Linked DNA regions of Alligator mississippiensis. The protein of the gene in region 4 purifies or fractionates together with the protein of the main gene of each other region. This does not show direct contact. Links are inferred from orthologs where the notes say so. Each region holds a gene or a part of one and is shown on either strand. Other genes may lie near its edges.

Region 1 (7,269 bases), on a different chromosome or scaffold from region 4:
GACAGGGACAACTTCCCTCCCTCACACCCACCCACCACAGACCAAGACCTGACCACCTCATTATGCAGCAGCAAATGAGCATGAGACGGGACTGAGCTGGAGCCAGCTGACGCTGGCACTCCCCCCCTCCACTGCTTGACACAAGAGGAGCTGTCCCACTCCCTAACCCCCTGAGTAAGCCTGCCCCCAGCCCTGAGGTCAGACTGGGGTCAGTGCCCAGAAGAGAAGAAAGTCCCTGCCACAAGCTGCCCCTAACAGGCCATGCTAGGCATGTAACTGATGGGTTCTGGTTTCCAACAAATTTCCCTTGCATGGGGGAGGCTGGCAGCCAGGACACCTGGGTTCTATCCCCGCTCTGGAAGAGGAATGCATCCAGTTCCATGAGCTGCCTACCCTGACTCTGGACTCCTCTCTGCTTTCAGAGCTGGGCTTTGAACCCAGGCATCCTGATCCTCTCAGTAGGCAGACCTGCTGGCTGGTTTCCACCCCTGCTGCTCTGATCCCCCAGTCCCACCTGGGTGGACTCTGGCAAACAGAAACAAAGGCTGCCCTAGCGATGTGGGGAATTGAGCAGCACGGACCCTGGGGGAGCTGATGCCCCTTGGCAGGGTGCAGGGCTGGGCATGCCCATACAGAGCATAATGGCTCCAGCTGCCTTGATGTAGCAGCACTGTCTGAGCTGGAGGCCTTTCCCTCCTCCCTGCCCCCACCATACTGTTTCCTTTGCCAGAAGCCTCAGCGCCAGGACTCCCTCCCCAGATCTGCTGCCACTTAGTTACCCCCCTCAGCCCTCCTTGCCCACCCTCCATCTGCACCTGCCCCTGGCACCCAGTTCCCCTTCCTTATTCCCACCCCACCACCCACAGCACACACCCTCTTCTGTAACTACCCCTCCTTCCAAGTGCCCCACTCCTGCTCCACGCCCCCCCAGCTCCTGAGGATACTTCCCCTCCAGCATCTGGCACTCCCCATCCCTGCCTCTGGTCCCCAACTGCCTAACCTTAGCCTCTTCACCCCCTTGCTCCTGACCCTACCAGCATGACAAGCCCCTGCCAAGCCCTACCCCCTTGCTTCCCAGATGCACCCTTCCCATGGGGGCTCTTTCTACCCTCCACCCCTCCCCCAAGGTTCCCCTCTGCCTAGATACAATTGGCACCCCCCGAACTGGAGGGATTAGAGGACAAGAGACAACCAGGGCTTCCGCTTGCCAAGGAGCAGCAGTCAGGTGTTCCCTCCCACTGCCCCAACACCCCTGACCCCAACAACTCCCTCCTCCTATGCTTCCCACCCCTCAACTGGCTACCCCTTCCTCCTCACTCCCTGCCCCAACAGCTCCCTACAACTACTCATCCCCCTCCCCTCAGGGCTTGAGCTTGGCAGTGGGGTGCCACCATTCACAACAGCAGTCACTTGCTCCCCACCCCCAACAACCTCAAGGACCCCTTCTGCAACCACCCCTCCTCCTCCTATACCCCAGTACTGTCCCTCTAGCCCTCAGCTCCCCCCAAACCCTTCTTTTCCTACCACCCCCCCCACCCAAAACTGCCCGTTCCTCCTCCCTCTGTTGCCCCTCACCTCCTCCCTCCCCAGCAGCTATCCCAATCCCCTCTCCAGGGCCTGAGCTCACCAGAGGGGATCCCACTTCTAAAAGCACCAAACACTTGTTCCCCCATGCTACCCCCAACCCCAAGGACTCCCCCCAGCAACTACCCCACCCACCTTCCCATAGCTTGAGCTCACCAGAGGGGATCCCACTGCTAACAGCAGCAGCCACTTTGCCCCCACACTACCCCCTCTTCCTACCCCAACTGCTCTCAGCTCCCCTAATAACTGTAACCTCTTCCTACCCCAAGGGGCCTTCCTTCAACCCCCAGCAATGGCCTCTTCCTCCTAGCCCCAGTACTGCCCCCCCCCCGATCACCCTTCTGCCCCAACAGCTCCTTCTTCCTCCCCTAGCACCTTCCTCCTCCTCCCCCAGGCAGCTACCCCACTGCCCTCCCCAGGCCTTGATTTCACAGAGAAAATCCTAGTGCTGACACCGCCAGTTACTTCCACCCCCTCCTGCCTCCAACACCCCTTACCCTGACCCCAAGGACCCCTCCTCCTACCCCCACTCTCCCACGCTCACCTAGTAACTGTGTCCTCTTCCTAACCTCCCAGCAATGACCCCCACATGGCTTGACCTCACCAGGAAGATCCCACTGCTCACACCATCAGCTTCTCCCACCCCAGTGTCCCCAGATCCTCTAGTAACTACCCCCTCCTCCCACCCTACCCACCAGCAATGACCCCAACCCCCAAAGCAACGACCTCCTCCCCCTCCTGCTGCTCCTGGCCCTTCTTCCTTCCCCAGCCTCAACCACCACACCCCACTCAGCAACTACTCCACCCCCTCCCCAGAGCTGGCCCTCACCATGGGGATCCCACTACTCACACCACCACCAGCTTGCCCCCACCCCCTGCCTCCAGCATCCCCCCTGCCCCCAGCTCCTCTAGGAACTGCCCCCACCCCCAGCAATGGCCCCCCTCCCCAGGCCTTCCTCTCCCTGCAGGGCAGAAATCCCACAGTCCCCCACCCATTCACTGCCTCCAATGCTCCCATCTCCAACCCTACTTACTCCAGCCCCTAGGACCTGCCCCTGCCCTCCAGCAACGACCCCACCACCCTCCCTAGGCGTTCCTCTCCCTGGGAGGCAGCAATCCCACTGCCCCCCGCCCGCGCACCTGGTGCAGGGCGCTGATGCCGTCGGCGTTGGTGCCGTCGATGAGCCCGGGCCCGGGGCCGTCGGGCTGGGGCTCGGCCCCCCCCCGTAGCATGGCGGCCGCCTCGGCCAGCTCCCCCGCGGCGCAGGCGGCCAGGAACTCGGCGGCGCGCTCGAAGCGGACGGCGCGGGCGCGGGGCGGGCGCGGGGGGCCGGCCGGCGCCGCCGCCTCCCACTGCCGCAGCTGCTCGCGCCGCCGGGCCTGGGCCGCGGCTGCCGCCTCGGCCGCCATCGCCCCCCGGCCCCCGCCCGGCTTCCTGCCTCGGCAGCCAGCGGGGGCGCCGGAAGCGGGGGGCGGGGCGCCATGGAAACGAGCGGGCCCGCCCCCGGCGCGGGGCAGGCCGGGAAAAGCAGCCGTGGGGCATGCCGGGAGGCACGGGGCGTCACGGGAAAGTGAGTCCCTGCCCGGGCATGCTAGAAGAGCCGGGGAGGAAGGAGTGCGTCATGGGGACAGGAGTCCTTGTCCCCTATTGCACAAAGCCGCCGTCGCGGGGCATGCTGGGAGAGGAGATGTGAGCCACTAGTGGTGTGAGAATGGGATCCCCGTGGGGAGGGCCAGCTCTGGGGAGGAGGTGGAGTAGTTGCTGGGCGTGGTGTGGGGGTTGAGGCTGGGGAAGGAAGAAGCGCCAGGAGCAGCAGGAGGGGTCCCTCCAGAGCGCCCCGCCCGGGGGGCAGGACTGTGTTCAGGTTCTGGGAGCAGAGGTCTGGGCTCTGCCGATGGGACTGCATTTCCCAGGGCCCTCCGCGGAGCCGCGTTTCCCGTTCGCCGCGGAAAAACGAGGGTTTTTGCTCTGTCAAGGAGGAAACGGTGGGGGGGCGCGGCAGGGCAGGGGGTTGGGGTTAGGGTTAGCGTGGCGGGGCAGCCGGGAGATGCTGCTCAGGGGGGGCCGCGCCGCTCGGGAGCCCGAGCCCGGGCTGCCATGTCACAGGCGTCCCCTCCCTCGTACCGCCCGCAAGAATTGGAGCGGCCGCAGCTGCAGCGCTCCGGCGCGGTCAGGACGGGGGCGACAGGGGCTGTGAGTCGGGAGGGAGGGGCATTGGTAGAGCCCGGGGGGATGGGAGGATTGCCCCCCGCCCCCCAGCAATCAGACCCCCCTCCCCAGTTGCCCTATGTTTGGACCTGGAAATATGGTAACCATAGTTATGAATTCCTCCTTCGCAGTGCATCATGGGAAAGGGAGTCCCCTTCTCTTCCTTTCTCGTCTCTTCCCACCTGCTGCAGGGCATCATGGGCAGTGCAGTTTCCCCCTCCTCCCTATCCCTGTAATGCTGAGGCAGGGGGAGATGGGGTGTGACGCAGTGTATCTTGGGAAATTGAGTCCCTTGCCTAGGTACCGAGCATCATTGGCGTGGGGAGTCACTCGTGCAATGTACGAAACAGTCCCTCCCCCCTCATCCATCCACTGCAGGGTGTGGTGGGACTTGCCCAGAGCATCATGAGAGACTGAGCGGGTGTGAGTCACAGCAGTACACCATGGGAAAGGGAGTCCCTTCTTGCCCACTGCTGTGGGGCATTATGGGAAATGGAATCCCTTTACCCCACACCTGTTGGGGCATCACAGGAGAGGGTGCACAGCAGACGCATGGCACTTATGGATTCTCTCACCCTGCCCATGGGGCATCTTGGAAAATGGAGTTTGCCTCTCCCCCCACCCACCAGCTGCCCCTGGCCTCTGCAAAGCATGCTGGAAATGGAGTCCCCAGGCAATTTGGCCATGGGGCCTTAGGGTAGCAGAGCCCTGCCCACTGCCACTCCCCCTCACTCTGATGTCCCATTGTATCATGGGAGCAGAGCCCCCAACCCAGAAGCAACCTGGGGAATGGTGTGTGCTGGCCTGCTGCATCATGAGAATGGAGTCCCCCACCCCAGAATTATCATGGGAAATAGAGTCCAGCTGGCTCAGAGGTGAGCAAAATGCAGCCTGCAGGCCACATGCAGCTTACCAGGCCATTCTGTCTGGCCTGCAGGGCCCCTAAAAAATTTAGAAAATTAATATTTATCTGCCCCTGGCTGCCTGTCATGTGGCCCTCAATGGCTTTCCAAAACTCAGTAAGCAGCCCTCCGCCTGAAATAATTAGCCTCCCCTGAGCTGGAGTCTGAGTCTAGGAAACCTCCCATCCTTGGGCACCTTAGTAGGCTGCAGCTTTGTGGCTCCACATTGCTTTAGGCTGATTCCTAGTGCACCGTCCCTGTCCCACTGGCAATAGCCTGTATTCTCCCCTGTCACCTTCCAGCATCTCCTACTGCCAGCAGCCTTGGCCCCCAGATCTTAGCATTCATGGGAAACAAAGCAAAACTCCTCTCCCACTCCCTGGGACTGATGGACATGCAGTGCCTGCCTGAGTCTACAGGGAGTCTGGGCCCATTGCTGAACGAGCTGGGCCAAGCCCTGTGTATCTGAACAAGGGGCTTATTCAAAGTCCTGATCCCTCTGTATGTTACTGCGGTGCCAGTGCCCTGGTGGGCTAGAGAGGGCATGTGAGGCTGACCTGTGAAGAGCTGCCTTTACTCTGACACTGCCTTTTGGTGGCAGTTATTGAATCCCTGGGGACAGCACAAGCCTTTGTTTCCTTCAACCCTCCAACTGGTGATCCTAGGAACTGCCTAACAGAGCATCAGACTTCCATGTATTAAGGGAAGGGTGGCAGTGGAGCCCACCTGATCCCTCCCACCCTGTTGTTGAAGCCTAGAGATCTGCCACCAAGTTGCAGTCAGCTCCCAAGTGGGTAGGGCTTATTTTAGGGGGACAGGCCCTGCTGTGTGGTGGGAGGAGGGGAGCAATTGGAGGTAGGCAGCTGGAAGCAGCTTAAATCTGTGTGGGGGCAGAAGTGTGTGTGATGGACAGCAGGGGAGCCATGCCTGTGGTAGAGGGGAGGTTTGGAGGGGAATTATTTGGGGGGGGGGGGTGATCTAGAAGACAGTTAAGTGTCAGGGGCCCATCTGCCTAGGGGGGGCTCTGTGTAAAGCCACACACACCCCTCCCCCTCTCAATATGCATACACAATTCCCTCCCTTGCTCCACAAACCAGATCGAGGCTCCATCCATGAGCCAAGGGCAAGGGATATGTTTTATTACATGGCCCAGGTAGTTGGACACAGGACACAGCTCACACCAGTTTCCTGATTTTCCAGATCACACAGGGCAGAATCTCCATGCCAGCAGGAACCAGGATGGGTGGAAGTCAAGGTGGGGATCATCTGGTTGGATACAGGAGGGTGGATGCAGGAGGGAAGGGTGGCAGGGGCGATCTGCCTGAGGGCCTGGCGTTTATTTCCAGCGGCCTCCGAAACGGCCCTTGCCAGGCACCTTTTTGCTATGGAGAGAAAGGGGAGGGTTAGAACAGACCTCAAGGCCCCCAGATTCCTGTCCCCCAAACATACCATTGCCCCAACCCAACCCTGGGCCCAGCTGATCTCAGCATCTTCCCCAGAGCAAGCCAGTTTTGGTGTCAAAACCCTCTGGCCTCACCAAGCTCATCTCAGTATCAGCCCATCTCCTCCTTCCCTCATGGGGAAAAAGGGTTGGGGGATGGAGGAGGTGGTTGGTCTCTGGCCTGGGTGGTCCCACACACAACAGTGTGTCCTTGTTGTGAGCATACTGGGCTGCATTAGGAGAAGTGCAGCCAAGAGATCAAGAGAAGCGATTCTTCCCCTCTGTTCAGCACTGCTGAGGCCACATCCGGAGTACTGTGTCCAGTTTTGTGGCCCCCACTACAGAAAGCATGTGGACAAATTGGAGAGAGTCCAGTGGAGGGCAACAAAAATGGTGAGGGGGCTGAGGGAATTCATGTATATGAGGAGAGGTTGAGGGAACTGGGTTTATTTAGTCTGGAGAAGAGAAGACTGAGTGGGGATTTAATAGTAGCTTTCATCTACCTGAAGGGGGTTCAAAAGAGGATGGAGCTGGACTGTTCTCAGTGGTAGCAGATGACAGAAAAAGGAGCAATGGGCTCAAGTTGCAGCAAGAGAAGTTTAGGTTAGATATTAGGAAGAACTTTCCCACTAGGAGGGTAGTAAAGCACTGAAACAGATTACCCAGAGAGGTTGTGGACTCTCCATCCTTGGAGTTTTTTAAGACCTGGCTAGACAAAGCCTTCACTGGGATGATCTAGTTGGGGACGGTCCTGCTTTGAGTAGGGGGTTGGACTAGATGACCTACTGAGGTCCTTTCCAACCCTCATTTTCTATGATTCTATACTCTCCCATAGAGAGGAAACAGCTACATTGCAACTACTCACAATTTCTGAGCGTGGCTGATGCGGTTGTACAGGACATTTATCTGCGGGGGGGAAAGAATGCAAGATGCATGGGATTGCCTCACCAAGCCTGCCCCATCCCCAGAGCCAGTCCCTTCTCACAGGGCCGGATCAGAGCCAGTGCCCCCTAAAGGGGACAAGGCCCCATGCCCATTCCCCATCCCCTTCACCTCATATTTCTGGCGCCTGAGTTTTTCCATGAGGTCAAACTTCTCCGATTCCAGCTGGTAAATCCAATCATGCATCTCCT
Region 2 (7,712 bases), on a different chromosome or scaffold from region 4:
GTTAGAGCCTATGGGTGAAACGTCGAAACGCATTGAAACAGCAAAACAGTTTTGATGAAACGAAACAGAACAGTACTTCGAAATTAAACAAAACGACAAAACAAAACACTGTCCCTCCAAAATGGCAAAAGGGATGCTGAAACGAAACGATGGTGTTTTGCACAGTTCTAGTTACAAGCATGGCTGAGGCAAGGAGTGGGGCACAGATACTTGTTGGCAAGGGCACCCTGGAGATCTGTGGGGTGGGGCCAGGTGAGAGGGCTCCCAGACCCCCACAAATCAGCTGGACCTGGGAAGTGGGGAGGAGGGAGTGGGGACAGAACTTGCACCTACCTACCCAGTGTGAGGGAGAACAGCAGGCATGCCAAGCAGGATGCAGCTGTGTGCCCAGGTATACAGCACAACCAGTGACCCCAGGGTACAGGCAGGGTACAGCAGCAGCAGTCCGCAGGCATCCAGTCCCAGTGCCACCACATCTTCCCCCAGCCCCTTGCTCCCTGGCTGCAGTGCACGTGCAGCTTCCCACTAAGGACGCGCACCAGGATCAGACACCTACAAACTGCCTCTACCGCATCCCGCCGGCACCCCAGGGCCACAGTCACACTGCACTCTACACTGTCCAGCTCTCCACGCAGGCTATGTCCCCCCAACTTTACATATAAAAAAAAAAAGGAAGAAAAGCACCATCTGTCACAGCACATTTCTGCCACCCTCATGGCAAACTAGTGTGCCTCGGCATACCCTTTGTGAATCACTGCCATAGTCTTCTACAACGGTTTCCATCAGCTTCTAGCTACAAATGACAATACTGAATTGAACCCAATCATCTTTCCTGACGTCCATGGTTGTCTAAAGCAGCTTAGTAATTATAGCTTCTGCCATAACTTATTACTTAGGTTGGGATAAGCAATATGTTCCTTCTTCAGTATCTAATATACAACAATATCTTTACATAGCATTTAAGCATCGTGGAGAATAGAAGAGCTATTGCCAGGGACTATAATTTGTAACTTCTGATGGGAAAAAAAAATTAAGTCACCAAAGCCAGCAGGGTCAGCAACATTGACCAGTAAGCTGGATCCAGTCCAGCAAGCTCCAGACCCCTGCTGATCACAAGGAGCACCTGAAAGCACAGTGAGCTTTCAGCCATATGGAAGAGTTGCAAGCACCATGTGCCTAGCAGCAGCTGCAGCAGTAGGGACTGGGACAGACACACCAGCACCACCCTGACCAGCATGGTGCAAAACAGCTTCACAGCTGCAGCTGAACAGTCCCTTCTGCACCGTGTACCAGGCTGGTCATGGATATACTGGTGCTTCTGTCCCAGTTCCTACTGCTGCAACCAAGTGCGGGGTACAGACTGACCTACATGGCTGCAACTGTGGTTCCTCCACGCATCCCACAGCTGTTCTGCACCAGGCACAGAGCTGGTTAGGGACATGCTGGCGCCTGTTCTAGTCCCTGTTGCTGCAGCTATTGCCACATATATGGTGCAGAATGGACCGCGTGGCCAACACGCCTCCTTCACACATCCAGAGCACTCACCATCTGCTCGCCCAGAGCTTGGCAGGCCACACACTGGAAATCAGCAGTAACAGCAGGGACTGGAACAGCAGCTCCAGCATGTCCCTGATGAAACAGAGGCAGTCAGGGAACAGTCTGTGTGGGGCTGCGCTTATTAGACTGCAGCAATGGGAACGCTCTGCAGGTATAAACCTGCAGCTGTGGTTTGGCGTGCATGGGGGAACCCGCCTTTAATCAGTGTGGGAGCAAGGGTGCCTGCCCCCAACTCCCCCTGGGTCTGCAGGGCAAGAAACGGTCTCTCCCTAGAGTTTGCAAGAAGGGGGTTGCTTTGCTGGGAGATTCCTTCCTGCTGCTAACAGACCACAAGGAGCTGGGGCAAGTCCCTGTACCTGTGCTTTGTGAAGGAGCCACCCGGTGTCACACTGCTGTTGAAGATCCAAGCCACAATCAAACTGCACACTTGGGCCCTCCTCATTTCTGTGCTGTTAATTCGTGCCCACCCCCTCCCCCTTACTGAAAGGTTGCTAACCCCCGACTTGGATGGTTAAAGTTCGAAAAATAGTTCTCCTTTGCTTATTTTAATCTTTGCCATCTAGGCAGAAGACAATAGGTTAAAGCTTTGCATTTTTTTTTAACAAAATCTATTGGTGGAATTAATGTCATTTCATCTATTAATCATTCAGGCAATAAAAAAACCGAGCACGATGAGAATGAATTAATTACAGCGGGCCATTATCGCAGCTGGAGCTAACACGGTGTCAGCAACTTCCACCACAATCTAGACCTGCCTTTAAAAGAAAAACAAAAAACTTCCACCCGCTTCTGGGAGCCCTTCCTTGGCGAGCACCTGCCCCAGTGGGGAAAGGAGGCAAAACGTAAGAGCTCCGTGCTGCTAAAAACCCTCCCGCCCAGGTGAGCAGGAGCAGCGGTCTCCCGCGGACTCGTGCCCCTGCCATGTGGCCGGTGTGTACGCGCCGGGCGGGCGGCCGCGCTGGGCATCGCGAGGGGACGGGTGCGTTTCTGAAGCGGGGCCGGGAGGGGTCGTTGGGAGGCCCCTGCTCCCGGAGCGCGCCCGGGGACCGGCCGGAAAGCCAGCGCCAGACAGCCCGGGCGCGGCTCCAGCGACGCCCGCCCCGCCGCTGCCCCGGAGCGGGCGCCGGGACACGAGCGCGGGGCGGGGAGGCGCGGGCCGAGCCGACACAAAGGTGTCCTCCACGGGCGGGCCGGGCCGGGACCCCGCGGGGGGCCACACTTCTGGCGGGACCAGGGACGGAGCAGGCCCGGGGGGCAGGACGGGCTGCGCTGCCTCCTGCTCGGGCAAGGAGCGCGGGACGGGACGGGACGGGATGGGATGGGGCGAGCTCCCCGGGGCCCCGCGCCGGACACACTCACCGCGTGGGACCTGGACCGGCTCCGCCGCCGCCGCCCCGGGAAAGTAGTTGCAGGCGCCGGAGCAGCACGGGCCCCGCCCCCGGGAGCCCGTGACATCACTGGGCCACGTGACCGCCGCCGGGCGGGGGGTCTGGAGGAGTCACGTGCCGCGCGAAGCCCCTCGCCCGCGTGGGTGCGTGGGGGGCGGGGCGGGAACCAGCCCTCGCGGCCGCGTGCGCCGCCCGGCCCCGCGCGGGTCGGGGAAGGGGCTCTGCCCTGCTCTGACCAGGTCGCGGTGGTCCTGGGGTCACTTCAGTGCCAGCCCCCCTTCGCCAGCGATACTCGTAATAATCATCATCGAAAAATGACCATTTTTCACAGATTTGATAGAGGTGAGGGCTGGGAGGGACCTTGCGGGTGCGCGGGGTGCGGCCCCTGCCCCGGGGGCAGGAAGTCAGCTGGAGCCCAAGGATCCCAGCAAGATAAGCATCCAAATGTCTCTTAAAAGAGTCCAGAGGAGGTGCCTGCACCACCTCTGCAGGGAGTCTGTCCCAGACCCCGGGGGCTCGGACAGTAAAGAAGTTTTTCCTTATGTCCAGCCTGAAACAGTCTTGGAGGAGTTTGTGACCGTCAGACCTCGTCTTCCCGTGAACAGACATTCCCCCAGATCCTGGTGCTTATATACTTACATGCAGCCACCAAGTCCCCCTGAGCCTTTGCTTCTCCAGGCTGAAGAGCCCCATGTCTCACAGCCTGTCCTCATAGGGCTTGTCCTCTTGCCCTCTTATCCTGCGCGTGGCTCTTCTCCCAACTCGCTCAAGCTTCTCCACGTCCTTCTTCAAGTGCAGGGCCCAGGACTGGATGCAGTACTCCAGCTGCAGCCTCACCAAGGCTGAGTACAACAGGGGATGACATCCTAGGTCTTGCTTGAGATGGATCAATAAATGCAAGCCAGGGTTTTGTTTGTTTTGCCAGCTGTGGCATCGCATTGGTGGCTCATGTTCCATCTTGTGGTCAGTCATGACCTCCAAGTCCCCCTTTTCTGGCCCCCTTTCCGCCTGGGCCCTGGGCGGGTGGCTGGTTCGCCCACGCCTGTGTCCGGCCCTGCCTGGGCCCCACAGCTGGGCCCTCCTGGAACAGAGACCAGCGGCCCTGAGCTTCCCCACCTGCCCTGCCCTGTGCCACAGCTGGTTCCCCCTCAGGAAGCCCCTCTCCCTCCCTCCCTGTTCCCCAGCTAGGGCCGCATCCATGCTGCCAGCAGGGGCCCGCCGGGCACCGGATCTGCAGCCTTCCTCTGTCTTGCAGCTCACGCCCCACCATAGCAGCAGCAGCCTTAGGGAAGGAGAAACCGGATGACTGCCCAGGGCCCTACATTGGCTATCAGCTTATGCCCTGTGAGGAATTTGTGTTGTAGATGGGCCAACATAGAAGATGCAATGAACCTAGAATATAACTCAATGTTAAAAAGCTCTTTCTTTCTCCAACTTATTTAAAGCTGTTCTTTCTTCAACTTATGCCTCTAAGGGGCCGCAAATGACTGTTTTGCCAAGAGCCCCAACAACCCTAAAGCCACCACCGACTATAGCCAGGGACTGGTAACACCAGCCAGCCTCTCACACCCCAGCACCATCTCCCTCTTGTTGAGGATCCACCAGCCTCAGACAGTGGACAGCACTGGGAGGAAGTGAGCACTTCCTCTCCATACGGCTGTGGTTAGAGCAGCCGCAAATAGTGGTGTGACACAGACCGCACCAGTGTCACGGGGAAGTGCGCTGATCTGAATGAACTGGTGATCCCCATTGGGTGCAGTGACAGTTGTTTTAACTGTGAGAGCATAGTCACAAATGCACCAGGCCCCTTTTCTTTCTTATAAAGCACAAAGTCATGGGTATAAGTACTCCTGAAACCCAGAAAAATAAGAAAACCTTTTTTTTACAGCAGTGTTAGCTACAGCATTACATATTGTAGTATTTGTTTATTCCTGTTTCTGCTGTAAATATATACCTTTAAAATAAAGGTACATATTTGTTGGTTGTGCCCTCCTCTCCTTTCTGCTACCTGTGTCACGGTGTATTTTAGCCTTCCTCAAGATGCACCGGGTGTTGGCTGCAGCCAAGGCTGGGGATTTTGATGGGTGTCCCAATGCTTCTGGTGGGACTTAAAAGCCAGAGGTTCCTGGTTAGAGAGTCTTGCCCCTCCCGCTCCAGGTCTGACTGATCATCGTATTTGGGGTCAGGAAGGAATATTACCCTGTGGTCAGATTGGTATGGACTGTGGGGGTTTTTCCCCCTCTGTAGGGTGTGGCCTTCTATGTGGGATCTCTTGAGCATATATTGACAAACATTTACAGAAGCAGGATGTAGGGTGGCCTGGTTCTCCTACTTTACCTGTGGCAGGTTAGGGTATTATGTCTCGTGTTGTGTCAGGGTTCACGATAGTTTTACTAAGAGTTTAGATTATGGATTTGTACAGGATGGTTTGTAGAGGGGTGATCCTGCCTGAGGCAAGGGTTGGACTAGATGACCTTTGGAGAGCCCTTCCAGCCCGACTTCTTCAGGATTCTGTGAAAACATTGCCTATATCCACTATGGCTGAGTTAACAATTACTATGTATTCTTTTAGCAGATTCTTCCAACAATCTGGTTACAGTGCAATTTCAGACCAACCAACAGATTTAGAAACACCAGCATGAAACTGGTGTAATGATGTAGCAAATCAGATCTCTTAAATTTTAAATATTTTGATTTTTGTTAATTTATCCTATCATCTTTGGATTGACAAAGGGGTGATGAGTTTTGATGTGTGAGGGGTGTGGTTGTATGTAATAAATAATATACTTGCAGTCGACAGCAAATTCACACATCATGATTGAGGGGTGTAGGTTGTAGCTGTTTTGGTCTAAGAACATAGACAAGGTTCTTTGGGTAAATCCAATATCTTTTTTTTAATCTACTGGCTTCCTTGCATATACACTGGCCTCTGGCTGCTTTACCACTCTATCCGGGAAGAGCACAGACCATCTGCAGACGCTTCCTCAGCCTGAATAAGGGTGTTTGTTAGCTTGCTAAGAAGAATTTTTCCCACTATTTGAGTTGGTCTAGTCAAAGATATCAGATTTACCCAAAGAACCTTGTCTGCCAAACTTCATGATTGCATACTTCTCACTGATGGTGATCTAGTGAATAGATTACTGACTAAACAGAGTGAAGTATTGTTCATTTTCTCAAAACTATAGTTCAGGATAGTGCTCTTGCAAGCTACCCACACACAGTTTGCTTAGATTTCTTAAATTATCTTAATTTGTCTGATGACCCTCTAAATTAGCACCCTTTTATGCAAGACCGTGCTTCCAGTTTCCTCCACATGTTCCCCTTTGGGTTCCTAAAAATAGCTGATGGCTTTGGAAACCTCATTCTGTTTAAAAGTAATCTCTTTTTTATTTTTCTTTAACAACCTAAGGGCCATTTCCAGTTCACTTGGCAGCTGGCAAGCAAGAGGTCCATACACAGGAGCTGTTAGCCTCTCTTCCATACCACAGAGGGACAGCAGATTTATTCTGGGCTACCACTGCTCTGCTTTGCCACCTGCAAGGGCTTTGACATAGGAGTATTTTATGGGTTCAAAACAGTTCTTCATCGCCACAGGACAGAACGTAAGACTGGGAACCTGGAGGCATGGATTCTCTTCTGGATTATGCTACTGAGCTGCTGCAGCATCTTGGGTGGCCACTTTCAACTGTCTGTTTCACACTTCCTAGATGTACATGTCTTCCTCTATCAAGCATATTGAGATCTATAAGGAGGAAGCGCTATGTAAGAGTTATTGCTACAGCCAGTAGATAGATTCTAGTCTCTGAGTCATGCCAGAGCAAGAAGGAATCATATTGCTGCTGTATGCTTCTCAGACACACAGTACTGATGATAAGGGCTGTCTTGACAGCTCACCCCCTTATTCCTGTGCACAGGATGCATGTCAGAGACAAGAAGGATATTTTCCTGTACTGGCTAATCTCAGCTCCTGGAAAAGGCCCTTAGGGAGTTAGCACAGCCAAGTGTAAGTTAGAGCAGCCCTTATGCTTCTCCAAGCTATACTTGGACCACGTAGACCTTAAGCCTGGTTAGAACAGGGAAAAGAGCATAGGTGACTTGAACTAACCATCAGTTTCCTTATACTATGTTAACAGGTTTTTTTTACCTAGTTTGTGTTAATTGTTGGCTGCATATATATGGATCATATCTCCTTCCAGAAACCAGATACAAAATAAAGCAGAATTTTGGACTGCTTCACCTTCCTCTGTTTAAGCTCCTTAATCTTTATTTCAGAGACCAAAAATGGTCTCTCACTGTTCTGCCACACTCCCATTTCTTGTTGGACTGGTTCAAGTTTTATTATATCCAGTCCAAATATAGTTTGTCTTGCTAATCCTGAGCCATTTTTCTCCTTAGGAGCCATTAAGAAAGTTTGCTTTCAGATTTAGTGACATGTTTTTGTTCCATTGTTATTCTATGCTTACAAAAATGATTTTCTTTACCCTTTTCACAGATGTCTCCCACAAGTGCTGGGCTCTGTCTCTAATAAATAAGTTTAGGAGGGTTACAGCATAAGCACTTTATATCTGCTCCCATCACAGCTCTTTTATTTTTTTAATAACTTGTTAGGACAGAGTGGAGTTACTCAGTGTCCTTCCTTTGCCTCCATTTCAGGGTATCCAGAGCAGACTACTAATCCCTTACTATTTGACTGTCTAGTCTTTGTTAGCACCACCAATGCACGCCATGCTGTGAGAGACAAAAAATTGACAATCCCTGCTCTGAGTA
Region 3 (7,507 bases), on a different chromosome or scaffold from region 4:
CATCGGCAGGTGTCACTGCATGGAGTTGACAATGGAAGAGAATAGGAAAAAACAAAAACAAAAAAAAGCGAAGTGGTCTGGAACAGAAATGAAGGTTGTGAAATGTAATTAATACCAGAAAGGTTTGCTTACCAGGTGAACTGTGGTTGTTTCCCTCCCTTTGATGAAGTAATACAAGTGCGGGCTTCCCTTTTTTTTCCTAATGATCACGTCTTTTCCTAGTACATTGTACAGGAACTATGCACTGTGGAATGTGGCAAATTAATTGAATAGAAGACTTTACCTTTTCCCTGCCCGACAAGACAGTTGGTGTGTATGTGGCTGGAGGAGATGCACATATCTCCCCCCAGACCCCCCACAACATCCTTGACCCACATTTGTGGGTTATGTACAGCGCCTTTGGAGTCCAGTGATAGCATTTCACATCTGTTATGACAAATCACAAATTATATTAACTGATCAAGATGAATTCTCCCAACCACCGTCCCTTTGGTTAAACCTATAGTTACAAGTGGAATTCGCAGGACTGCAGGAAACACAAGAGACTGTTTTACGCTAGCAGAGAAGCTTGACAGAAAACAACTTAAGTTACAAATACAAGGAAGTCAGGAGAGCAGAAGGTCCAAAGTCTTGGGTTATGTTGAAACCTACAAAAAAAAAAAAAATCTGGCGGATGTAGGCTCGTACTTTGCACTTTATATAGGTTTGTGCCTATAAAATTCCTGTAGACGAAGAAGCTGGGAGTGGAATTTGTTAGATCGGTATAGAAACGGAGGGGCAAGGGTAAGTGCCTCCCCTCCTCCCCTTCCCCTTCCCTTGCCAGGAAATGCAAGCAACTCAGTGGGAGGAGTTTGCTTGGAACTGGTTACATCACCTCCCTGCCCACAGCCTTGTGGGTTGCTTTGTACATGAAGAAAGACAAAATGAGGCAGGCGCCATTTTAGGAGCATAAGGGCGAAGAAACAAGAAAAAACCCCAAGGCTTAAGTATCCATTAAGAGGACATGTACAGTAACACAGCCCCTACCACACATACACACACACACACACTCCCCCCCCCCCACAATTTTATCCTATTATCCCAAACCTACAAAATTCAATTACAAAAACAAATAAAACCCCACACAATTACAAAAAAATAAATTCAGGTTCGGTTGCTACTGGGAGTCAAAGATTCAATACAGAATCTCTTCCCACCACTCTCCCATGACAATACATCCTGGGGAGGCTAAACTGTGTCCCGTCAAATACGGGAGGGGCAGAAATGGAAGGTAAAAATGGGATCAACCTGCAAAACATAAAATAAAAAAAATAAAATAAAAGGCTGCTTGTCGGAACAAAGACAGGCAGACAGAACAGGTTCGCCATATTTGATTAAGGGGGGGGAATATGAAGCTAGAATTACATTTTTAAAAGCGCATTTAAGATTTCATTGTAATTGGAATCTATGAATTAACAAAATCCTTGTTTAAAAAAAAAAACATTGAATTTTAAAACAATATTTAAGCTACTAAACTTCCTTGCAATCTTTATTTGTAGATTGCCACCCAAATTTAGAAAAAATCCTTTTCAATTTCCTTTCCCCTGCTACTCTCACTCTCTCTATATACGCACATTATTGAAATGACAGGCAGGGCTTAATTTTTTTTTTTTTAGTCACACAAAAATTTTAACATTTACATTGAATTTAAAATAAGAGGATTTGACAGCATTGCAAGGCTAATCTTTCAAACCAATCCCACCACTAATACCAGAAATTGCTTTCCCTCGTTACCTACAGCCTTACCCTGCAATCTTTATGTACAGATTGCTCATTTAAACAACCTTGTCTCCCACACAAAGAAGCGATACTTTATCATTTAGTCACCGCCATCTTTTGCATGGGAGCTCATTAACCCTTCATAGTCCTAAAGACGATGGATTATTCTAAGATACCATCGTAGTCCTTATAAATACGCATTTTTTAAAAATGCTTTAATCTCAAGGGTTAACAGCCTGAAACAAAGTCTATTGTCCTCATAAACAGACATACGCCTATTTTTGGTCTCTCCCTGTAATTAGTTTCTTTGGCACAACGGAGGAATTTTTTTTTTGGTTTTTTTTTTTTTTTTTGGTCAGTTGGTTGAAAATTCGACACTTACTATCCAATTATTTTTCTCGTCGACAGCGCTTCAAAGTTTGGTTTTGGATTAAGTTGTGTATTTTAAAGAAAAAAAATATTTTTTTTGTTTTTGGTCATGGCTTTAAAAAAAATACAGCAACTTTTTTTGGTTTGTGGCTGTTTGTCGAGATAAAGAAACGAAAAAAAAGTTGCTCGATTTAAAAAAAAAAACAAAAAACAAAAAGAGATCAGGGCAGGTTGTTTCTAATTATTATTTGTTTGGTTTTTTTGTATGTTTAAGTGGCTGTTTCCTTCAGGTCACAAAGAATTTAAACGGCTTCCCAAGGACGGTCAAAAATATGGTGGCTGGTTTTTTGTGTCTTCCAAGGACCGAGTGGGGGGGATTTTCTCTGGTTTCTCTTGCCAAGCTCGACGCAGTTTCAGGACCAAACAAACCTGGAACAGGAAGAAAAAAAAAGAGGGGAGCGCATAGATTAGCATTTTTTGACAGAAATGGATCAAAAAAGGTCATTAAAAAAACAAAACCATAGCACAAACCACATCATCTAACTCATTAAGTTTGAAAGGTTTCCTTCCCGAGGCCAAAAAAAAGGGTTGTTAAAGGGACAATTTGGAAGAGGAAATATATATATATAAATAAAGGGCGGGGGGGTCAGGGAGAGGGGGAGAAAAGGAGCAGGTTTTTTCTGTGCCTTGGGACTTTCCTGACCAACCCTGACCCTCCTTTACTCGAAAGACCCCAGCTCCCTCCGCCAGACCCGAGGGGCTCGTCCTCCACGGGCCTCTGTAACGCCCGAGCTCGCCCCAGGTGGAGGTTGCAGCCCCCCCGCCCAGCGCCCACAAGCCGCGTCGCAGCACGGCTCTGTACTCACCTCTAACCAGACCCCAGAATGGCCGAAAGGCGCGCGGGCGGCGCCTTTTATAAGGAGCCCCGCCCCTCCCGCCCCGCCCCCCCGGCTCGCGCGGCGGCGCGAGAACAAAGCCCACTTCCCGCTTCCCCACCCGCCCCGACTGGACTGATCCTCTGAAACAACGCCCAAACCGAAATCGGAGGCCGCAGCGGAAAGCCTCTCGGCACTGGAAAGCGGCTGCCGCCTTCCAAAACCGTTTTTAAAATCGGGAAAAGTTGTGACGCAGTTTCGCCGGGGCCCGGTGCGCATGCGCGCGGGCGGGCGCCATTTTCGTGGCGTGGGGCGTGGGCTAGGAGGCGCGGGTAGGTGACCGCTCCCCAGCGCTTCCTCAGCCTCGTTGCGCAAGCGCAGCAGTGGGCTGCTCCGGGCGGGGCCAGTGCGCATGCGCGACCACCGCCCGCTATTGTCTTGTGTTTGTGGCGCAGTTTTTATTCCTTCTTGAGCACTGCGCATGCTCGAGGGTGGGGAGGCGCCTCTGGGGGGGGTTATCTCCAGTTCTCTACGAAATGCATGATGCGTTTCACAAGTTAATAATTCTTCCTATCCGTACTTTATCACTAGGGACTAAGAAAATAATATAGTAAAATTGGAGTAATGACCTTTGACCTCAGCGATCACGTGCGACAAGATGGCGGCTACCGGGACAGCTGAGGCTAGAGCTCAGCGCGCATGCGTAGTTGTGCCTCTCTTAACATGGCGCTGGCCATTAGGACCATGCTTTGGCGAAGGGCGATGAGTAGCCTGAGGCAGAGAGGGCGGCTCCTGTGGACCCAGGTGAGGAGCAGGGTTCAGGAGCCTGGCTGTGGCCTGACCGCTGCCAGCCGTGCTTCAGTGACACCTGCATAGTAATGTCATTGCACACCGCGTGGCAGGGCCATTGGGGGGGTGTCCCCTTCCTTGATGTCATCTCGCCTGGATACGTAAGAGGACATCATTGCCACTGCCATGGTTGACGTGCAGAGGCGCTGCCAGCTGCTCTGTAATGTCTTTGCCCTCAGGGGATGTGTCACCTTGTCCCTGCCACCAGGATGGGTTGCTGTGGTGCTGGGATACTGGTGCCTCGGGCGCAGCATGTCATCGTGATGTCAACACGTTACGATGGTGTCAGGCCGCGTTGGCTGACGTGACACGATGTGGGGACCAATGACAAGACAAGGAGCAATAGTCTCAAGATGAAGCAAGTGATGTTTAGGTTGGATATTAGGAAAAACTTTCTCACTAGGAGGGCAGTGAAGCCCTGGAACAGGTTACCCAGGGAGGTGGTGGAAGCTCCTTCCTTGGAGGTTTATAAGGTCCGGTTTGACAAAGTCCTGGCTGGGATGATCTAGTGGGGCTGGTCCTGCTTTGAGCAAGGGGTTGGACTGGATGTGACCTGAGGTTCCTTCCAGCCCTCATTTTCTGTGATCCTGTGTCTGTGTCATCCCCGTGGATGGGCAGGCTGACCACTTACATGGTGTAACGATATTCCTTGTTCTAAGCTGACATGCCTATATCATAAGTACGTTTTTGGCTGCTCCTGCAACCTATTTCTTCAGCATGTGACAACTTCATCACATCATTAACTTAGGTATTGGAAATCCTGTATGGCAGATTGCTGTATGATGTGATGTGATTGTGATAGGCCAAATTATGGCACCATGTATAATATTGTTGTATCACATTGGATTGCAGTGCTATGGTCCATCACACTGCCTTGCATTCTAACTTCAGTGTTTCAGAGTGTTTGGAGATGTTTTCATTGGCGAGCCATTTCAGAATGACAGTTAAGGATGCTGTGAGACTCGAGGCAAAAACAGCTATGGTGGAAACAATTTCTCGCGACTGTTGCCTTACACTGTCCAGTAGCTCCTTGCAGCGACACCTTAGGTGCTAGTGGTTACCCTTGGTGTGTTTTGTTTTGTTTTTAATTTTCCAGGGAAGTTAACAGCAAAACATTTTATGTGTTGTTGAACCTATTTGATTAACCACCCCCCCACCCCACCCCCTGCAAAATCTCCCAGAACTTTCTCAGCTCTGTAGGTCAGCTTTTTCCATTCAGGGTAAAACTCTCAGCTCTTGGCAAGCAGTTCCTATGTGATAGTTCTGTGCAGCTATCATCAGCTGTCTCACCAAAGAGGTAACTACATTTCTCTGTTACATATCAGCCTTTGGTTCAGAATAACCTGGTCACTTCCTTGCATGTCTAATTGTCTCTCAGGCTTTACCCAGTGCCTCACTCCACCTCCAGCTCCCGCAGCTCCGGGCCTACAGCACAGAAACTGACCCAGCCAAATCTGAAGAGCCAGTTGCTTTTGACACTGAATCCCGCTTTAAGGAGAAGCCTTGGGAGTATCTGGAGACAGAAGGTATGAGTTTAGGGCCTGTAAATAGGTCAATGCTAGGCCTATGAACTTGGCACCGTTGAAGCAGAAAGTTTGGAATTAGGGCTCTTGTGTTCTCTTGGAGGGAACTGATATCTAGGAGTTAGATAGCTGGGTTCTCTTCCCATCTCTGAGCACAGCTTGCTGTGTAATAACTAGCTAGTCTCTCTCTTAATATCCACATAGTGGAGCTAAAGCTATCGAGGCTATGTTTATTCATATACTTTAGAATCCTTAGGGTCAGCTCGCCTTAAGGAATTGTTAACTTTCCTCTCTTCTGCACAGAATACATTGAGAAATATGGTAACAATCCTGTCTGGTTTGGCTATCGACGTAACCACCGGGGCTCCATCGGACCTCAGAAGACACGCAAGAAGTGCATAGTGAGTGCAGCCCCTTCTCCCTGCCAAGGAAGTGTGCGCCTTGGATGATAGAGTAGGGTCGAAAGTAGTGCTTAGTTCCAACACCAGATGATTCTGCATTTGAAATTCAGCTGCTCAGTGTGAAGAGGAGAGGTGGGGAGAAGGGATGAGAAGTACCAACAGCAAAATCTTGGCAAATCGGAGAGGTGGCTTGTAGGGACATATAGAACTGAAGCAGACTGGGAATCAGAATTTCTGGGTGTAATTCTTAATGCTGGAATGGGAGAGTGGGGTCTAATGGGTTAGAGAACAGCCTGAGAATCAGGATTCCTGGGTTTTATCCCAGCTCTGGGAAAGGAGTGGGCTTGAGTAGCTTAGAGTGCAGAATAGAATAGAACCCATAACACATGGGTTCTGCTTTGAAAGTGGGACTGGACTGGAAAGCTCTAAGGTCCAACCAGCTTTGGCAAGACATAAAGTCAATGAGAAGGGGTAGGAGGTTTGGAAAGTCTGAGTTCAGGTAAAATGGTAGGTGACAGTAATTGGGGAGGACATTCAAGAACAGGCAGACAATCCAGGGGGATCCAGAGAGTGTAACATACCTGGCAGCACACCTGTGCAGCAGTCAGTGACCCAAAGGACCCACAGGCACCTCTGGGTAAGGGGATGCAGTGGGAAGGTGACAGAGGTGGGAAATTGGACAAGGGTGCATACAATAGGTGTTCCTTTGTCTAACAAGTCTTGAGCTGAGGACCGCTGTTCTGGAGAATTGACTTGTATTTCTATTTATGCTACTACCTGCTGGGTGAGTTGGAAAATCACTGCCCCTCTCTGTACCTCATTTTCCTCATTTGTCAAGTAGGGATCATGAACTGTTCTTTGAGAGGAAGAGATGAAGAGAGTTAGGTGTGATTATTTTAACAGTATGGTACAGAGGGCCTAAGGCAGAAGTAGGCAACTCCCGGCACATGTGCCAGAGCATGAGATGCAAAGGCATTTTGCTTGGTACGCGTGCGTCAGGGGAAGGGGCCGTGGCTGCGTTGCCACAACAATTGGGCCCCTCGCAGCACCCTCACTGTCCACCCCTGGTATGCCAGCATCATACAAGTTGAGGTTGTGGGCACTTTTGGCACTCTGCCCAAAAATGTTGCTGACCTCTGGTCTAAGACATGGATTGACTCCTGACCTAGAGCAGGGCCAGGCAGAATTCAGCCTGTGGAAAGACTTTGGCCCACAACTGGTCCCTTGGTCCAAGGCATTCAGCTGGGCTGGGATGTCTCTGTGGCTAGACTCCATTTCTCAGCAACTCTGGTAGCAGCAGATCCTTCCGGCTCTGGCCCCATGGAGACCGGCTGGGACCTGCATGGGCGGGGCCCGAGCCCTGGGCTGAGCTCACAGCCTTGGTCCTGGCCCACCCCACGCAGGGTGTTATGGTCCCTGCAGTGCCTGCTTTAAACCTCCTGACCCAGCCACGATGAACAGTAGCCAGGCAGAAACTGCTGCTGGGCACAGGGAAAAAGTAGGACCCAGCCCTGGATGCAGTCCCTTCCCCCTCACCAGTGCCAGGCCCTTCTTACTGCAGCTACCCAGAGCCCATGCTGGTGCTGCCCTCCACCTGGTTCCAGGTGGCTGTGGCCAGAAGGGCCCATCAGTGGCAAAGTGGAGGCAGCCATACCTACTGCCAGATCCTGCTTTTTCCCAGTGCCCAGCAATAGCTTCTGTCTGGCTGCTGCCTCTGCACCCAGGCCACCGA
Region 4 (7,088 bases):
TCAAATAAAAAGATCTCACCCCCCCAAAAAATCCTCGCTGCTTCTATTGGAAATGCAAATTATACTGAGCAAACTACATAACTATTCTTGCTAGCAAAACTGCATCTACTGGGGCTCTTGCTAACAGAAGTACATTGGTAAGACATGGGTTTTTTTAACATTTGTGACAGGGCATAAAAAAACTACAACAGACTTCAACCAGTAAGTGTACAGCCTGAAGCTACACGGAGTTCTGAGGCAAAGACCATCTTTTTGATATGTCTAATGCAAATGGGTTTTGACAGGGCTGTAAATTCAGCTGCCATATAAAACACCCTCCCTTTAGACAGATAAAAAGAAACTTTAAAACTCTGTGTTTACAAGTTAAACCTATTAAAAAAAATGAAGATCTGTCAAAAAACATTTCAGCCGAAGAGCAATTTAACAAACCATTTTTCCCCCCACTCAAAACACATTTTACACTGATACTTAAAAAAAAAAAAAAGAGAGAGAGAGAAAGAAAGAGCACTACCCAGCAACACCATACTAAACTGTAAACTTAGTAAGCATCTTTGATTACATAAAAGAAACCTCTGAGTTAAGATGCCGTTACTCAAACTGTTACTCATCTTATGGCATACTGGTAGCACAGAAAGTGTAAAACAGAAATGTAAGAAAAAAAATCCTCACCCACACCAAGTAATTTTAAAAGCTAAAGATGATACCGTGACAAATTCTCAGGACAGATTCTCTTTCTGAAGCAAGGAAGAAACTTAAAAGAACCCCTGGTTAGCAGTATGGTAACAAAAATGGGGGGGGGGGGGAGGAGGAGAGGAAGAACTCTTACTGCTACAAGCCAGACAGGTTTTCCTTACCTTTTTTGCATAATTTAAATTAAGTAAATCAAACTTAAAAACAGCTTCAGAAAACACTGACTACCTACAAACAGCACAACACACATTTGAACAAATTTGTCTTTAAAAATGTAATAGTTTTCAAACAAATACACTGCCATTTTTAACACAAATTTGCTTACTACAGTCTAGACTGGTCCAAACCTAGGATGGCTATGATCTTGTTTAGTTGTTATATGAAACCCCTGGAAACACTACGTCTTACCAACTATTTTAAATATGGATATGCACTTTCTTTGGAAAGCAGCTACTGTATACATGGAGTTTCATGGTTTACTTTATTAAGATAAATGATAGCTAAGAAAAACGAGACAACCAAGTGCTTAAAAAGTGGTTCTACAATATTTTAATAAACTGTATCAATTAAATAGGAATACAAATAAGCAAACTAGAAAAAAAATAGATTACTACCCTGGACAAAATTTACCAGTGCCCCTATGTATGGAAGATGTATATATGCAGGCCGGAAAGTCTTTAATCCCTGAAAATGGAGCTTATGCTGGAAAGTGCATGTTAAGTGGTCACAAAGGGGCCTGTACAGAAAATCTTACTTGATAAACATTCTTAGATTTCAAGCAACTCAAAAGGTAAGTTGTCATCTGCCCAGCCAACAAATATTTACACTCCACCGAAGGACAAATACAAGCATTTGAAATGCCTCCTGCAACAATACACTAAGCACAAACATATTAGCAGAACTACCCCCAACAACCCTCTTGTGGCCAGGCGCACGCTCTCCATCTATCAGCACCCCAGATTTTCACTGTTTACTCATTATGAAGTCAGACAACAACCTGGCACAGCCCCCCCCCCGTCAGCCCCAACAGGACGGGGCACAGATTACAGCCCAGGGGCTCATAGTACAAAGTCCAGATCTTTTACCTGCTGGATGTACAGCTACCTAGTCCGTGGCATCAGACTAAAACCACTTGCAAAGAAACTTATGTCCAATTCGTTTTGCATTTACATATAATGGACACATGAGATTTATAAGTATTTAATTAAAAATATGTTATGAAGAATTTACTATTGCATACATCTTAAATTCTGTGGTTGTTGACTGTAGCCGTGTTGGTCTAAGGACATAGGCAGACGTGGTCCTTTGGGTAAGTGTAATATATCTTTTTTTAGACCAACTAAATAGTTGAAAAATTGTTCTTTGCAAGCTTTTGGGCACAAACACCCTTCTTCAGGCAGAGGGAAACTACTGGCATTACGTGTTCTCCAAGGCAGAACCAACACCCCTGGCAGCCTTGCCGCAACTCCTATTCACTGCCCATCCCTGTGCAACCGTGCACCCAACCCCTCTGCCCCAGTGGCCTATTCTTGCAGGTGGGTGGCAGGGTGTAAGGCAAGACCCCCCCACCCCAACAGGGGGAAGCTTTACAACAAGGATGTTTGGGGCCTGGATTTAACCCTTTAGTGGACCCTACACAAACACATTCGTGGGCCCCTTCTTAATACTGTGTATATTACTTTTTAATTTTCCCACTCCAGAATTATAATAGGTATAGAAGAAGCACAAGCAGGCCCCTTCCTCACTTAGGGCCCTAGGCATATACTTGGACGTTCACCCAGCCCTGAGAATACTCAGGGCACAAGGAGGTCCCCCTCGGCAAAGGAGAAGACAGCAACAAATTTCCCACCATCTCCAGGAGGATTTATTCCCTCATGCACCGAGGTCCCCCGCGCCCCCCCCCCCATCTCCCTGAGGAACTGCCCCCCGCCCGCACACACACTGCCCCCCAGGTGTGGCGGGGAGGAAAGAGGGGATTCGCAGCCCCGCCCCAGCGGGGGGAGGGAAAAGGGGGCGCTGGGGAGGGGGGGGCTCACCTTCCAGCAGGCGGGTGATGAGGCTGTCCACGTTCAGCTCCCCGTCCGCCATTTTGTGTCCAGCCGACTCGGCGCCGGGCGGGGTGGAGAGGCCTCGGCGAACGCGGCTTCCCCCCGCCCCGCGCAACCAACGGCCGCCCGACTGCTCCCGCGCTGCCCCCGACTGTGCCCGGCTCGCGCCCTCGCCGCGGAATGGGGGCGGAAGAGAGAGAGAGAGAGAGAGAGAGAGAGAGAGAGAGAGAGAGAGAGAGAGAGAGACAGCCGCCCCTCCTCCCCGCCTCAGAGGCCGCCTCTGCGCATGCGCCGCAAAACCCCCTCCCGCGTCTCTTGCCGCGGCTGCTTTGCTCCAGGCACTCCCAGAAATGCGCAGCCGCAGGGGAGGGGGCTCTTCCCTCCCTGTCTCGCGGCTGCCTCGCTTGAGGGCCAACTGCGCAGGTGCAGAGGGCTCCTTTTTTTTTTTCCAACCCTCCTCCCGCTAAGCTTGAGGGCCGACTGCGCAAGCGCAGAGGGCTTTTCCCTGACCACCTGTTTTCCCGCTTCGGAGCCGACTGCGCAGGCGCGGAGGGTTTTTTTTTCTGCTCCCCCCCCCTCTTCCCCGCTTTGCTTGAGGGCCGACTGCGCAGGCGTGGCGGGCTGCTGCGCTTGCGGTACTAGGATGAGTGCGCATGCGTGTGCGGCTTTGCTTTTTTTTCTCGGTAGCAGGCGGGCCTGAGCGGGGCGGGGCAGCCCTCTGCTCTGCCCGCGGGCCGAGTGCACAAATAGTAGTGTCAGTGCATAACACAGTGTGAGCCCTGTTTGCTGCCTCCTGTTCGCACTGCAGCACCCCGATGTGATGCCACGCAGGGCGAGGTTATGCTGCCTGGCAGCTCAGTGGTACTCCCCTGACCTGATCCTTTGAGCTGGCACCACGTCTGTGCATCCTGCGGGCTACTTGTGTTCCCTTCAGGTGGGCCAGAAAAGAGGAATGGGAAGTCGCTGTTGAAGGGCTGCTATTAGATGCCTTAAAAATGGTGGGAACAGGTCAATTCGGTGACTGTTCGTGGCACAGCCCTGACAGCTCCACATGCTGAAGGAGCTGTTTGGATAAGTTGCATGTCCTGGATGGGGCCAGTCCTGTGGGCATGCATTTTATCCCAGTACACCGCACTGCTGGTTTGGCTGAAGTGCAGAAATTGGCTGTGTGTTCACGCACACATTAGACACCAGGAGTGGGCAAAATGTGGGCTGAACGCAGCCCACCAGGCCATTCTATCGGGCCCACGGGGCCCCTAAAAAAATTAGAAAATTAATATTTATCTGCCCCTGGTTGCCTGTCATGTGGCCCTCAATGGCTTACCAAAACTCAGTAAGCGGCCCTCCGCCCAAAATAATTGCCTGCCCCTGTCATACATGCAGGGGTGCGCAACCTTTCAGTCAGCCAGATGAGTGGCATAGGGCCAGCCCACAGGTACCCTGATCCAGCCCTGTGCTGCCCCAGCCTGATATACCTGATCTAGTGCAGAGAACCACACTACAGGTTTCCCCTGCTTTATACAGGTTCTCCATGTGCGAATTCACTCCTATGCGATGACCTTTTTATACCAAAAATGTGTTATATGCGAGGTAAATTCACCCTTACATGATTGGTGTGGTGGAAGCTCACATTCAGCTGCTTTATGCGGTGCAAGGGATTTTTGGTGCTTTCCTTAGTACCTCAGCCCCTAAAAATGTCACTGCGTGAGAATTTCTCCTTATAATTAAACAGAAGTTGCCTCAAAGCGTAAGGGTTGAAAATGTTAGACCCCCAACAGGCTGCTTATTGACAGGTGCACCCTTCCTCCTGCACCTGTCAAAGCTCATAGTTTGTTGTAAAAAAGTTGTTAATGCTGGAATGCCAAGCTAATCACTAAACCAATGATTAACACAGTTGTCAAAATCTATAGCCTAATCAGAAAGGTCTGGGCTGCAGTGTGAATAGGACCTTTAAACACTATATTCTTTTTCCATTCCTGAAATATTTTTCAAGATTCATTCTTGAAAACCATTTAAGTATATGCACATGCCAACAAGTGCTTACTTGCATGGGCAGAAAAATGCTTTTAAAAGTAGCAGTTAAACTCTTCTCATGAAAAGAGACATAACATGCTCATCTACATATAGCCAGCTGAACAGTAGTTATTTTTTCTGGTGCTGAGTAAACTGTAAATTATCTAGAAATATCAATCAGGACTTGTAGTAGAGATGATATCTTTTATTAGACCAACCAGATTTTTGTAAAAAAAAAAAATTATTTAATTGCAAGCTTTTGGGCACAAACATCCTTCATCAGGCATTGGAGAAAAAAAATTGTAAAAGTTCTCCTGGGTAGAAATATCAAGTCACTATTTAGATGACTAAATATAGAATCAGACTAGATGTCTCTAGGAACTTACATTTGAATTTTTCCATCAATACACACCAACCAGAAAAGTCATGTTATCTTAAGAAATCTTCAGGAATCAGTTTTCACATCATGATCAGGGAAAAGCAAGTCTGAGCAACATTTTAAGAAACATCCTTAAGGCAAGGTGATGAATAGGTGGGAGACTATGTTGGGGTGCCCAAACACTAACATGAGGAGAGGCTCTTTTGATATGTAGGAGGAGGATGTATTTTTGCTGAGTATACTAAAACAAGAGGATTCAGAATTATAAAAAGACTCAAAGTTTGACTTTTTATTCCCATTAGCAAACGGCAGATAATAAAATGTCATTTCAGCTCATCTGCTGAAAGCATATATGCATATACAAACTCTTTTTTAGACCTTTATGTTAACATTGGGGGCTAAATGACACTTGGAAATCTTTGTTCATTTTTTGCTGAGAGTTAGAAAGCCTGATTATTTAGCTTTCTTTTTTTTTTTTTTTTTTTTTTTTTTTTTTTTTTTAACTGGTTCATGGCTACCAAATGCAGTAGATGTGCTACCAGAGGTTGCACTTTTTGTCCCCTTTGCAATTCACGCTACTAAACTTCCTTGAATGTTAGTTTAGGCCAGGGATGTCAAAGACACAGCTCATGGGCTGGATCCAGGCCATGAAGCTGGATCATTTGGCCTGCAGTGCTTCCTGCTACAATGCAGTATGCACTGGAATTGGCCTTGCAAGCCACATGTGGTACACAGCCTGTCTGGCATGGGCTGCACATAGAATGGGGCTGGTCTGGGATGCGCACTACATGCAGCATCTGTGTTGGACCAGCCCTCCACACTAGATCCAGGGCCAGTCGGTATGGGGACGCAAACCAACCCTGCATGCTGAATCTGGCCCATAGGACTGGGTTGGTGTGGGCACCACATGTGGCATATGCCCCAGACCAGCACTGTGTCCAGTGTGTAGCAGGCATGCCAGACCAGCCCCACGTACTGCATGCTGCACACAGGACCAGGAGGTGTGTGCATGCAGCATGCAGGTCTGGAGCTAGTGTTTGCATTACAAGCAGTACACATGGTGTATGCTGCATGCAGAGGCTGCACTAGACCAGCCATGAGAGCTGGATCCAGCACATGGGACCAGTCTGTGGGGCTAATCCAGCATGCAGGCTGGCCCCACGCCCATACTCTGGCCCATGAGACTGGGTGCATTTGACTCCCATGGTTTAAGCTATCATGACATTAAGCTGTGACATGATGATGTTGCTTGGTAATAGGCCATTGTATGACAACAGGATAGAGATGTCACATTGTGACACAGTGGTACAAAGAGCCCAACAGTACAAAAATCCGAAAGCCAACAAACCTAAAAGGTACATTGAACAAAACCCAAATTGTGATAGCTTTATATAGTAGGCCCTTTAAAATGTTTCTTCAATGTTTCAGTGGAATGCCAGAAAAATCAAAGGACAGGACAAGCAGAGATGCTGCAACAGAGAACCCACAACAAAGACTGAAGATAGGTGCATGGGGAAATCCCTTGCTTTTTTATTTTCTTGATTTCAGTTACAAACTCTCTTTTCATGCATCTTCCTTTTTATATTAACGCCATATCATGTGCTAAACCAAATAGCTAATATATATGCGTTCTTGAAAAGCTCAGTTAAGTACATTGGGTTTGATTTTCTACTCTTGTATTATAATTGTTTTATAATGGGGTGATTGCATTAAATCAGTGGAATTAACTCAGTACATACAGTAATTAGGCTCATCATCTCCCACAAAACAGAAAGAAATGCTGCATTTGGACTTAAAGCAACATTCTCATTGACCAGGAAGACATGAAAAGCCACTTGCAGCAAACAGGGATGAATCCCAGGGTATTTTACTGGTGTTCTGAGTGGAGTTAAGCATGTACTGGTGCTTCTGGCAAACTTCCACTGATCATTCTCCTCTTTCTTAATTTCCTTTCTGTT

What was found.
Region 1: the proteins of PPP1CB (region 4) and PPP1R12C purify together in Homo sapiens (affinity purification with mass spectrometry; 3 studies listed by BioGRID and IntAct, with this or other methods). This does not show direct contact. The link is inferred for Alligator mississippiensis from reciprocal best matches to the Homo sapiens genes PPP1CB and PPP1R12C.
Region 2: the proteins of PPP1CB (region 4) and RAI14 purify together in Homo sapiens (affinity purification with mass spectrometry; 3 studies listed by BioGRID and IntAct, with this or other methods). This does not show direct contact. The link is inferred for Alligator mississippiensis from reciprocal best matches to the Homo sapiens genes PPP1CB and RAI14.
Region 3: the proteins of PPP1CB (region 4) and PPP1R10 purify together in Homo sapiens (affinity purification with mass spectrometry; 5 studies listed by BioGRID and IntAct, with this or other methods). This does not show direct contact. The link is inferred for Alligator mississippiensis from reciprocal best matches to the Homo sapiens genes PPP1CB and PPP1R10.

The regions. Positions count from the first base shown.
Region 1 is NC_081828.1:39,232,964-39,240,232, forward strand, and holds the start of PPP1R12C (protein phosphatase 1 regulatory subunit 12C), read right to left. Parts: upstream 3,010-7,269; 5' UTR 2,995-3,009; coding exon 2,725-2,994; intron 1-2,724. Other genes in the region: TNNT1 (troponin T, slow skeletal muscle), read right to left, coding at 6,032-6,077, 7,002-7,042, 7,190-7,269. UniProt on the Homo sapiens protein: Regulates myosin phosphatase activity.
Region 2 is NC_081826.1:280,132,445-280,140,156, forward strand, and holds the start of RAI14 (ankycorbin), read right to left. Parts: upstream 3,006-7,712; 5' UTR 2,917-3,005; intron 1,630-2,916; 5' UTR 1,546-1,629; intron 1-1,545. UniProt on the Homo sapiens protein: Plays a role in actin regulation at the ectoplasmic specialization, a type of cell junction specific to testis. Important for establishment of sperm polarity and normal spermatid adhesion.
Region 3 is NC_081834.1:53,548,864-53,556,370, reverse strand, and holds the start of PPP1R10 (serine/threonine-protein phosphatase 1 regulatory subunit 10), read right to left. Parts: upstream 3,017-7,507; 5' UTR 2,994-3,016; intron 2,557-2,993; 5' UTR 2,141-2,556; intron 1-2,140. Other genes in the region: MRPS18B (small ribosomal subunit protein mS40), read left to right, coding at 3,702-3,806, 5,230-5,377, 5,678-5,775.
Region 4 is NC_081824.1:176,137,653-176,144,740, reverse strand, and holds the start of PPP1CB (serine/threonine-protein phosphatase PP1-beta catalytic subunit), read right to left. Parts: upstream 3,006-7,088; 5' UTR 2,779-3,005; coding exon 2,727-2,778; intron 1-2,726. UniProt on the Homo sapiens protein: Protein phosphatase that associates with over 200 regulatory proteins to form highly specific holoenzymes which dephosphorylate hundreds of biological targets.